2 linked regions of the Sus scrofa genome follow. Each later gene encodes a partner of the first gene's protein in a complex. Links are inferred from orthologs where the notes say so. Each region holds a gene or a part of one and is shown in the gene's direction. Other genes may lie near its edges.

Evidence for each region.
Region 2: ARID1B (region 1) and SMARCC2 share a complex: the UniProt entries of both Homo sapiens proteins name them as parts of the neuron-specific chromatin remodeling complex. The link is inferred for Sus scrofa from reciprocal best matches to the Homo sapiens genes ARID1B and SMARCC2.

Annotation. Positions count from the first base shown.
Region 1 is NC_010443.5:10,223,349-10,229,525, reverse strand, and holds the start of ARID1B (AT-rich interactive domain-containing protein 1B), read left to right. Parts: upstream 1-2,145; 5' UTR 2,146-2,170; coding exon 2,171-3,790; intron 3,791-6,177. UniProt on the Homo sapiens protein: Involved in transcriptional activation and repression of select genes by chromatin remodeling (alteration of DNA-nucleosome topology).
Region 2 is NC_010447.5:21,565,509-21,570,807, reverse strand, and holds part of SMARCC2 (SWI/SNF complex subunit SMARCC2), read left to right. Parts: coding exon 1-232; intron 233-476; coding exon 477-638; intron 639-903; coding exon 904-968; intron 969-1,193; coding exon 1,194-1,329; intron 1,330-1,406; coding exon 1,407-1,570; intron 1,571-2,933; coding exon 2,934-3,068; intron 3,069-4,292; coding exon 4,293-4,674; intron 4,675-5,015; coding exon 5,016-5,299. UniProt on the Homo sapiens protein: Involved in transcriptional activation and repression of select genes by chromatin remodeling (alteration of DNA-nucleosome topology).

The DNA of each region.
Region 1 (6,177 bases):
TGTGGTGTAATTGTATAATTGGTATGTATATGAAAATATAAAGGGAGAAAATCTGGGAGAAAATGTCAAAGAGGCACACTAACAAAGATGTAGTATTCTCTTGGCAAAAATTGATGAATTATTTGGCATGAATTCACCTTACAGTTCTGTTATTCTCTCTTATACATGATGCTATAACTCCTGTTTTCCAGTTGTTTGCAGAGAATTGCAATTTGTTGTTTTACACTCTATAATGACCCTTGGGTGTGCACCTGAGTCCCCTCCCCCCAATTAGTCACCAGTTTTTCACATCTATCCTTTTCTATTTAGTCATGTAACATATTAATACTTCCTCAAGCAAACAAAAATAACCCCTGTGGTTGAAATAAACTAAAATAGTCTTTATGGAAAGCTTAAGAATGAGGTGATTTTGGAAAACTACATTCTACCAAAATCATATATGTTATTTCAGCTAGCATGACCTCTTGAAAGCTCTGCTTTCAAATGCTTTCTCTCCATGAAAACTGAGTCCACACTAATACAACTGAGCCATTGTTTAGGTTAAGAAGTCCTGCTTTTGAAGATATTCAGGATGTTACTAGGTGAGAAATTCACAATAAAAAAATTTAAAACATCATAAAGTGATAAAACAATAGCTAATATTAAAAGAACAAAGCATGAACCCTTTTAGCTCTAGGATTAGATTTGATGGATTTATATCATCATTGATTTTATGTTTATTAAATAACATGTTACTTTTTTTTAGTTTTGTCTCACATTGCTTAGAAATGAACTCATATCAAGAGGGTTAATTGTGCACATAACCTCTGAAATACGATGCAGGTATGATGTCATACAGATTTATGAAGACATGAGATAAACCTTTGCAGTCGCTATTATGGCACCAGGAGTTAAATTTCCACGTGCAAGTTGCTGGGAGCATAACGCACCACGCTACGTATTTGAAGACTTTCTCTTCAGAGCGAGGACAGACAAGTGCATGGGAAGGAAAAATGCTCCTTTGGGATTACTTTATGTTTTCATTGATAAGCCTACGTACACATATAAGATGCCTTAAAAAAAGTTATATCAACGTTATTTTTGGGGCAGGTGCAATCAACCTAAGCATTTATTGAGTACCTGCTGTGTACAGGGCACAGCGCTTCTGGAATGCGGCTAACCTTCACTTAAACTCTTTCCTAATTATGCAGTTTAAAGAAGTTGTGGGAATTACATTGACGGCCCGAAATCAAGGCAGAGAGGCTAACATGCTGAAAAATTACATAACTCTTGGGAGAGGCAGTGCTTTTGCACAGATTGCCCAAATATCTTCTTTCTCCGTCGGCTCCTCGTAACCTTTGAGGCCAACAGACAACTTTGTTCCCCAGCCCTTCTCCCTCTTTTGTCTGCTCGTCAGACTCGTTTTCCACCTTTGAATCGTTCCTTTTAGACGTGAAAACAAACACGCGAACGCCCGGTTGGCAAGGAGACGGAGGCACGAGGGGAAAGTGCAGCCTCCCGTCGCCCCACGCCGCCGCGCGCCCGGCGCCGGCCGAGCGGCCCGAGCCCCCGGCCCGGGGCCGCCGGTGCCCGCGAGGCTGCGCCCGGGCGGGCAGGCGGGCGGAGGGCGCCGCGGGCGGCGGCGGCCCGGGCCGAGTCCAGTCCGCGTTTTGCGAGTGCGCACGAGTAATCAGAGAGAAGTGGATAATAGTTGCTCGGGCTCGCTCGGCTCCCTCTCATGCCATGCTGGGCCCGATAGGCTCAGTGAGTCGTGTATTTACCCATATCCGGGTTAGAGAGGAAAAGAGAAAAGTTTCATTTAAACCTGAACTAAAAACTTTCACCATGAAATCACACAGCGGGAACAGGCCCAGACCGTAAGGCGTGACTCCCGGTTCGGCTCCGGCGGGGCCTGTGGAGGGGGAGGGGGCTCGCTCGATTCCCGTCGGGGCGTGTGGATGCGCACAGGAGGGGCCGCAGACTAAAAAGTGGGTTTTATTGTCTCCCCCCGCCCCCCGCCCGGCCTCGCCACGCCGCGGCGATCATGGCCGCGCGGGCAGCAGCGGCGGCGCGGGCGCGGGCGGGCAGCGGCGAGCGGCGGGCGCCCCCCGGGCCGCGGCCGGCGCTCGGGGCCCGGGACCTGGAGGCGGGGGCGCGCGGCGCGGCGGCGGCGGCGGCGGCACCGGGACCCATGCTGGGGGGCGGCGGCGACGGCGGCGGCCTGAATAATGTGCACCACCACCCCCTGCACCCCCGTCACGAACTGAACATGGCCCATAACGCGAGCGCGGCGGCCGCCGCCGCCAGCACTAACAGCGCCAAGAGCGGCGGCTCCGAGGCGGCTCTGAAGGAGGGTGGAAGCGCCGCCGCGCTGTCCTCCTCCTCCTCCGCGGCGGCGTCCTCCTCTTCCTCCTCGTTGGGCCCGGGCTCGGCCATGGAGACGGGGCTGCTCCCCAACCACAAACTGAAAACCGTTGGCGAAGCCCCCGCCGCACCGCCCCACCAGCAGCACCACCACCACCACCATGCCCACCACCACCACCACCATGCCCACCACCTCCACCACCACCACCACGCACTACAGCAGCAGCTAAACCAGTTCCAGCAGCAGCAGCAGCAACAGCAGCAGCAGCAGCAACATCCCATTTCCAACAACAACAGCCTCAGCGGCGCGGGCGGCGGCACGGCTCAGCCCGGTCCCGACATGGAGCAGCCGCAACATGGAGGCGCCAAGGACAGTGCCGCGGGCAGCCAGGCCGACCCCCCGGGCCAGCCTCTGCTGAGCAAGCCGGGCGACGAGGACGACGCGCCGCCCAAGATGGGGGAGCCGGCAGGCGGCCGCTACGAGCAGCCGGGCCTGGGCGCCCTGGGCGCGCAGCCGCCGCCGGTCGCTGTGCCCGGGGGCGGCAGCAGTGGCGGCGGCCCGGCGGCCGTCTCGGAGTTTAATAATTACTATGGCAGCGCTGCCCCTGCTAGCGGCGGCCCCGGCGGCCGCGCTGGGCCTTGCTTTGATCAACATGGCGGACAACAAAGCCCCGGGATGGGGATGATGCACTCCGCCTCAGCCACCGCCGGAGCCCCCAACAGCATGGACCCCCTGCAGAACTCCCACGAAGGGTACCCCAACAGCCAGTACAACCATTATCCGGGCTACAGCCGGCCCAGCGCGGGCGGCGGCGGCGGCGGCGGCGGTGGCGGAGGAGGAGGAGGAGGAGGAGGAGGAGGAGGAGGAGGAGGCAGCGGAGGAGGAGGAGGAGGAGGAGGAGCAGGAGCGGGAGCTGTGGCGGCGGCGGCCGCGGCGGCGGCAGCAGCAGCAGGAGGCGGCGGCGGCGGCTATGGGGGCTCGTCCTCGGGGTACGGGGTGCTGAGCTCCCCCCGGCAGCAGGGCGGCGGCATGATGATGGGCCCCGGGGGCGGCGGGGCCGCGAGCCTCAGCAAGGCGGCCGCCGGCGCGGCGGCGGGGGGCTTCCAGCGCTTCGCCGGGCAGAACCAGCACCCGTCGGGGGCCACCCCGACCCTCAACCAGCTGCTCACCTCGCCCAGCCCCATGATGAGGAGCTACGGCGGCAGCTACCCCGACTACAGCAGCCCCAGCGCGCCGCCGCCGCCGCCGCCGCCGTCGCAGCCCCAGTCCCAGGCGGCGGCGGCGGGGGCGGCGGCGGGCGGCCAGCAGGCGGCCGCGGGCATGGGCTTGGGCAAGGACATGGGCGCCCAGTACGCCGCTGCCAGCCCGGCCTGGGCGGCCGCGCAACAAAGGAGCCACCCGGCGATGAGCCCCGGCACCCCCGGCCCGACCATGGGCAGATCCCAGGTAACCCCCGCGCCGGTCGGGCCTGCTTCCGCCGCGGCGGCCTCGCGGCGCGCCGCGAGCCCTAGTTTCTTTCTTTCCGCGTACTTTTTCTGCGTCTTCTGTCGGGGGAGGCGGGGGCGAGACGCCCAAAGCCATTTTAACTCGCGGCTGCCTCCTTCCGAGGCCGGGCAGCGCGCGGGGTCCGACTGCGCGGCGCGGGGCCCGGGGCCTGGGGAGGGGGTCTGGCCGAGGCCCGGGACGGGCGCCGCGGTTGCCGGTCGCGCAGCACCCGCCCGGCCACCCCACCCCAGGCGCCGAGCCGCGCGTGCGGGAGTCGGGGACCGCGCCGCCGGGAAGCCGTGTGGGCGCCGGGGACCGTTCGGGCAGCTTTTTCAACAAAATAGGCGCTCCCGGCCGGTACGGTCGGGGAAGGAAGATTGACCCCCTCTTCTCGGTTAGCGCCAACAATGAGCTAGAACTGGGAAAAGAATGAGGAACTTTGTCCTACCTCCGGCCACACTACGTTCCCTCTTAGCTTATTAGGTGAAGGCAGGAAAAATAGGTTAGCTTTGTGGCAGCCGAGTGTGTTTCGTAGTTGTGCCCAGCCATTCGGAGATATCGGATGCGGGCTTTGAGTTTGTGTAGTAGCAAAAATAATACCCACGTTTACAGCGATGTGGAGGTAAAATATCCTAAAATAAATCGATTCATTCCTAAGAATAGCCGGGAAGTCCATTTTTTGGCTTGCAGGCTGCTCGAAAGGAGTCACCTTCAACAGATAGACTGTGTTGAAGGAACACATTCCGGCTAGATTGAACTTATTTTGATCGTGGATTCGGCATACATTTTATCCAGCGAATCCAGGGAAATAGCGGACCAGTGAAAATTGATCTTTTTGGATAGGATTTATTTGGATTTTAAATTTCCTGACACCCAAGAGCTGCAGCGTTGTTAGGAGGTGTCCTGCACTCTTGCTGTTTCTTGCTCGTAGGCTGAGCCTGAAGACTGACTTGATCTCCTTTGCAAGGTTTGGAATTTGAATTGTGGAGGTAAACTGGCTGTAATAGTCTCCAGACAGCTGCCTCTGAGTTGACATCTAATCTGCCATCTGATTGGCTCCCCTCTCACCATTGGGCATTTAGCACTGCTGATGTAAATAGAAGTGCTGAGCAGTACAGTCACAAAAATTCTTGCCACAAATAATAACTGAGCTCTATTACAAGCAGATGTAAGGTTGAATATTATTTAAAGCTTAAATTATTATGAATCGTAGTTATTAATAAGAGGATTAAATACATAACAACATTATGCTGGTGTCCAGTCCTGGGCAGTTCCAAAATTCAGCTCTTTGACCATCTTAGCCTAGACATTACATATGTCATGCACTTTAATTGTGGGGGGGAGAATAGGGCAATTGAAAAATAATTAAACCAAGAATTTTACCAGTTTTTGGATTTGCAAGGCTTTTGTAGAAGTACCCTTTATGGATTAAACCATGAAAACATTTTGAATTATGTCATCATATGTAGTTTAGTGTAAAATTAAAACTTATAACATTATAGTTTTCAAAATTCGGATATCCAACAGTATCTTTTACTATTAATCAGCTTGGTAACAAGATTAAAGGTGTATTTCTAGTATATGTCTGTGTTTTAACAGTTCTGATGTTTTTAAGATGATTGTGGCTGAGGAGTTTTAGTTAGGGTTGACATTATATTAAAGGAAACATGAAGCAATGAAAATAATAATTTTTGCAGACAACAATTAGTTAAAAGGGAAGGAAATGGGTGTTCTTGTGAAATTTTAAAAATCGTTTTATATTTGTTTCTAATTTGGAGAATACAAAAGTGTCCCAGAAGTCTTTTTTTTCTTTTTTTTCCTTCTGTTGAGTATTTTGTTAGATTAGGTAATGTGAGTCTCATTTGAACTTCTTACACAATGTTTTAGGGAAAGTACATTACATACAAGTTTGCCGGGTATGTTTCTTCCAAATAATTTTTCTTTCATAGCCATTAGATTTTTTTTTTTTAACTTTCATAACATTCAAATCTGTTAGGGTTCACAGTGGTTATAATATATATTTTACTCAGCTCATTTATTTTAGGAAGGTGTATTTTAATAATCGTTTCTTAAAGGAGAGACTTGTCAAGAGTGAATGCAGTAATGCATGTAACATATAATCATGTGAATCCCAGGCTAAGGATGTTGGTGTCTACTCCCTTCTAATCTTTAGTTAGGGGAGTTTTACTTTTAAGAATAATATATTTTCCTATTCTTCATAGAAAACTTGGGATTTCTGTGTTTACTTTTGATGAATACAAGTAAAAAAATAGAAAAATCTTGTGTAAATAAATCCATGTAAATCATTTTAAAAAGATGTGCTTTGTCAACTTCCTTTTAAAGGGAAA
Region 2 (5,299 bases), on another chromosome or scaffold:
AACAAGGTATCAGAGCATGTGGGAAGCCGCACGCAGGACGAGTGCATCTTGCATTTTCTTCGGCTTCCCATTGAAGACCCTTACCTGGAGGACTCTGAGGCCTCCCTGGGCCCCCTGGCCTACCAGCCCATCCCCTTCAGCCAGTCAGGCAACCCTGTGATGAGCACCGTTGCCTTCCTGGCCTCTGTCGTCGATCCTCGAGTGGCCTCTGCTGCGGCCAAGTCAGCCCTAGGTAATGCAGGGGGGCTCCAGCCCCTTGTCGTTTGCGTTTGAAGGGCTGGGTACGCAGGTCATAAAACTCTCTCCCTCAAGTTTGGCTGCCTTCCTGGCCTTGTCTGCTGCTGGCCTCAGTCCTGGCGCCCGTCCAGCTCCCTGCAGGTTTAGGTGATGTGCCGGGCTTGTGAAGAAGCTCTCACTGGGAGAGCCAGAACTGCCCACCTGCCCGCTCCCAGCCTCATCCTCTCTGGGTCTTGCAGAAGAGTTCTCCAAAATGAAGGAAGAGGTACCCACGGCCTTGGTGGAGGCCCACGTTCGGAAAGTAGAAGAAGCAGCCAAAGTGACAGGCAAGGCCGACCCAGCCTTTGGCTTGGAAAGCAGCGGCATTGCAGGAACCACCTCGGATGAGCCAGAGCGGATAGGTGAGGCCTGGCCAGGTCCCAGACTCCATTTTTGCCAGGAGACAGAGCCACCTGCCTCCCCACACCATCCCTGCCATCCTCGGGCCTCGGAGCACAAGATGCATGGGGAGGATTGGTGGGGGTTTATTTTCCCCAGCGATTTCCCTTAGGCACCGTGGCTCCCCCCGGTCCTGTCATTAAGGTCTTGGCTAGGAGAAGGGGCTGTTGGAAGAGCATGGTAGACAGACTGTCAGACATTTCCCATTTCCTCTTCCCCTGGGCCCAGAGGAGAGCGGGACTGACGAGGCACGGGCAGAGGGCCAGGCCACAGAGGAGAAGAAGGAGCCCAAGGTATAGCGGGACTGACGGGGCCGGGAGGGTGGAGGGGGCCAGGTAGGAGCTGTGGTCAGGGTGCCGGCTCCATCCAGCTCTGGCAGGGCCGGGTTTGGATGGGGCTGCATCCTGAAGCCAGGTCGCCTTCCTTGTGAGGGGCATAAGCTCAGGTCCTGGTCTGGGCCCTCCGTATGCAAACCAGTCTCCCTAATAGTCTCCCCTTTCCTTTCCCTGGGGCTCCAGGAACCCCGAGAAGGAGTTGGGGCTGTGGAGGAAGAAGCAAAGGAGAAGACCAGCGAGGTGCCCAAGAAGGATGACGAGAAAGGGAAAGAAGGTGACAGCGAGAAGGAGTCAGAGAAGAGTGATGGGGACCCGATTGGTGAGCCTCCAGCGTGGTGGTTGGGGTCCAGGAATGGAGCGAGGCTGTAGGACTGACCCCCCCTTTTCCTGGCCCAGTTGATCCTGAGAAGGAGAAGGAGCCCAAGGAAGGACAGGAGGAAGTGCTGAAGGAGGTGGAATCGGAGGGGGAAAGGAAGACAAAGGTGGAGCGGGACATCGGCGAGGGCAACCTCTCCACCGCTGCTGCTGCCGCCCTGGCCGCTGCCGCCGTGAAGGCCAAGGTGAGGCCCTGGGACCAAGGAAGGAGATGCCCCTTTTCTGATCTCACATCACCTGCAAGAAATCCCTCCTTGTCATCCTTTAAACAGTGCTGACCTGTTTTCTTTGCCTTTTGGTCGAGGGAGGGAGACTCGGTCATCTCTTCTCTAAGCTTTTTTTTTTTTTTTTTTTTTTTTTTTTTTATTTTCCCACTGTACAGCAAGGGGGTCAGGTTATCCTTACATGTATACATTACAATTACATTTTTCCCCCACCCTTTCTTCTGTTGCAATATGAGTATCTAGACAAAGTTCTCAATGCTATTCAGCAGGATCTCCTTGTAAATCTATTCTAAGTTGTGTCTGATAAGCCCAAGCTCCAGATCCTTCCCACTCCCTCCCCCTCCCATCAGGCAGCCACAAGTCTCTTTTCCAAGTCCATGATTTTCTTTTCTGAGGAGATGTTCATTTGTGCTGGATATTAGATTCCAGTTATAAGTGATATCATATGGTATTTGTCTTTGTCTTTCTGACTCATTTCACTCAGTATGAGATTCTCTAGCTCCATCCATGTTGCTGCAAATGGCATTATGTCATTCTTTTTTATGGCTGAGTAGTATTCCATTGTGTATATATACCACATCTTCCGAATCCAATCATCTGTCGATGGACATTTGGGTTGTTTCCATGTCTTGGCTATTGTGAATAGTGCTGCAATGAACATGCGGGTGCACGTGTCTCTTTTAAGTAGAGTTTTGTCCGGATAGATGCCCAAGAGTGGGATTGTGGGGTCATATGGAAGTTCTATGTATAGATTTCTAAGGTATCTCCAAACTGTTCTCCATAGTGGCTGTACCAGTTTACATTCCCACCAACAGTGCAGGAGGGTTCCCTTCTCTCCACAACCCCTCCAGCACTTGTTATTTGTGGATTTATTAATGATGGCCATTCTGACTGGTGTGAGGTGATATCTCATGGTAGTTTTGATTTGCATTTCTCTTATAACCAGCGATGTTGAGCATTTTTTCATGTGTTTGTTGGCCATCTGTATCTAAGCTTTTTTTTTAATCGCCACACCCAGCGTGTGGAAGTCCACAGGCCAGGGATTGAACCTGCACCACAGTTGCAGCCGGTGCCAGAGCTGCAGCAACACTGGGTCCTTAACCTGCTGTGCCCCATGGGCACTTCCTTCTCTAAGCTTTTTTAAGCCTCTGCTATTGGGCCTGTCCCTACCCTCTACTTATCAGTCAAGCCCACGTTACTCTCTGCGCTGTGACCACAGCAAGTTCTTTCTTAAAACCTGCCCGCTTCCGCACGACCCTTCTCTGCCTGGAGCGTCTTCAGCTGGGTCCTCCTGCTGACCGCTGGCCCACCCCTCCTTTCTTAGCACTTGGCTGCCGTTGAGGAGAGGAAGATCAAATCCCTGGTGGCCCTGCTGGTGGAAACCCAGATGAAGAAGTTGGAGATCAAACTCCGGCACTTTGAGGAGCTAGAGACGATCATGGACCGGGAGCGAGAAGCGGTGAGTTGTGTCCCCAGCGGAGTCCGAGGAGCCCAGGGTCCCACCTTGATGCTGAGCTGGCCCTCTGTTTAGGATGGAGGGAGCAGCAGTGCAGAGAGCCTGAGGCTGACAGGGCTTCACAGCAGAGCAGAGTAGCCCAGGTGGTTAAGGACAGGTGACCCACAGGTACAGCCTGGAGCCCAAGTCCCCAGTGTCAGCTCTGGGGCCAGGTTCTAGTCGGTTCTTTGATTGCTGTGTCTCCAGGTTTTTGAACGGTGCTTGGCCAATAGTAGACGGTCCGTAAAGATTTGTTGAGTGAACAGGTTTAAGGCATCATGAGAGGGTAAGGGCTCCAGATCCAGGAGGTGAACTTGGAAAGGAAATGGGAAGGATAAAGTGTTGATTTTGAGAAAATATAAAAGAAATAGAAGACAGTGTCTCTGACACTGATCTCCTTAGTTAGAGGCATCAAGTGTACAATATGGAGACATTGAAAACAATTAATGCTCAACATAGCTCACAGATGCAAGTTAAGAGATTTCTGATCAAGTATAAAAATCCTGAGAGGAGTTCCCATTGTGGCTCAGTGGAAACAAGCTGACTAGTAACCATGAGGATGCAGGTTCAATCCCTGGTCTCACTCAGTGGGTTAAGGATCCGGCGTTGCCATGAGCTGTGGTGTAGGTCACAGATGTGGCTCGGATCTGGTGTTGCTGTGGCTGTGGTGTAGGCCGATACCTGCAGCTCTGATTCGACCCCTAGCCTGGGAACCTCCATATGCTGTGGATGCAGCTCTAAAAAGCACACACACACACAAATCCTGAGACAGAACAGAATAAAAGCCAAGAGGGCAGAGGCTATTGAGCTGATCTGGGAAGGCTTCCTAAGGATGATGAGCCTTCCTCCAGTTTTGAAGGAAGGAAAGAACATGAATTGACAAGAGGAACTAGTAGAAGCATTTTCCAAATTAAAGTAATGACAGATTCAAAGCTTTGGAGCTGAAAAGAACAAGAGTTACCACCAAACTAACCCCACTGCAGTGAGGTGGGCAGCCAGGGACCTGGCGGGGAGATTTGAGGGGGTAGGCTGGGGGAGGACAGAGGAAGCCAAACACAAGACTGAGATTTGGTGTGGGCACCTGTCGGAATGGGCATGCAGGTTTGTCCGAAGACAAAGCAGGGGGCAAGGGGTTTGCCTTTGGGATCGTGTAAACCTGCGTAACAATACTCATGTGGCCCCCGGCAGCTCGAGTATCAGAGGCAGCAGCTCCTGGCCGACAGACAAGCCTTCCACATGGAGCAGCTAAAGTATGCAGAGATGCGGGCCCGGCAGCAGCACTTCCAGCAAATGCACCAACAGCAGCAGCAGCCACCACCGGCCCTGCCCCCAGGCTCCCAGCCTATCCCACCTACAGGCGCTGCAGGGCCACCGACTGTCCATGGCTTGGCTATGGCTCCGGCTTCTGTGGCCCCTGCTCCTGCCGGCAGCGGGGCCCCTCCCGGAAGCTTGGGCCCCTCTGAACAGATTGGGCCGGCAGGGTCAGCTGTGGGGCCACAGCAGCAACAACCAGCTGGAGCCCCCCAGCCTGGGGCAGTCCCACCAGGGGTACCCCCCCCTGGACCCCATGGTAAGTGATGGGTTGTAGGAACTCACTCCAACTTGGAGTGGTCTGGCTGAGTGTTCAGTTCCGTTCGAAGGGGTTGTGATAGGACTGGAGTCAAGGATCAGCCTCAGTTTCTACAGATCCATCTCACTTCTGTCCCTGAGTCAGCAGGGATCCTTCCCCAAACCAGATCCTTGGAATTTTATCCCAAGGATTTACTACTTATTCTAGTTTAAAAAACAAACAAACAAAAAAAAACAGGGAGGTGGTTCCTAGGAGTGGCTTGGTTATGCATGCTGGGGAAGTGAGTTTCCAAGTAAGATTATATGCCTCTAATATTCCCTATCTCTCCTCTTCATTCCCAGGCCCCTCACCGTTTCCCAACCAACAAACTCCTCCCTCAATGATGCCAGGGGCAGTGCCAGGCAGCGGGCACCCAGGCGTGGCGGGTAATGCTCCTTTGGGTTTGCCTTTTGGCATGCCGCCTCCCCCCCCTGCTCCATCCATCATCCCGTTTGGTAGCCTAGCCGACTCCATCAGTATTAACCTCCCCCCTCCTCCTAACCTGCATGGGCATCACCACCATCTCCCGTTCGCCCCGGCCACTCTCCCCCCACCTAACCTGCCTGTGTCCATGGCGAACCCTCTA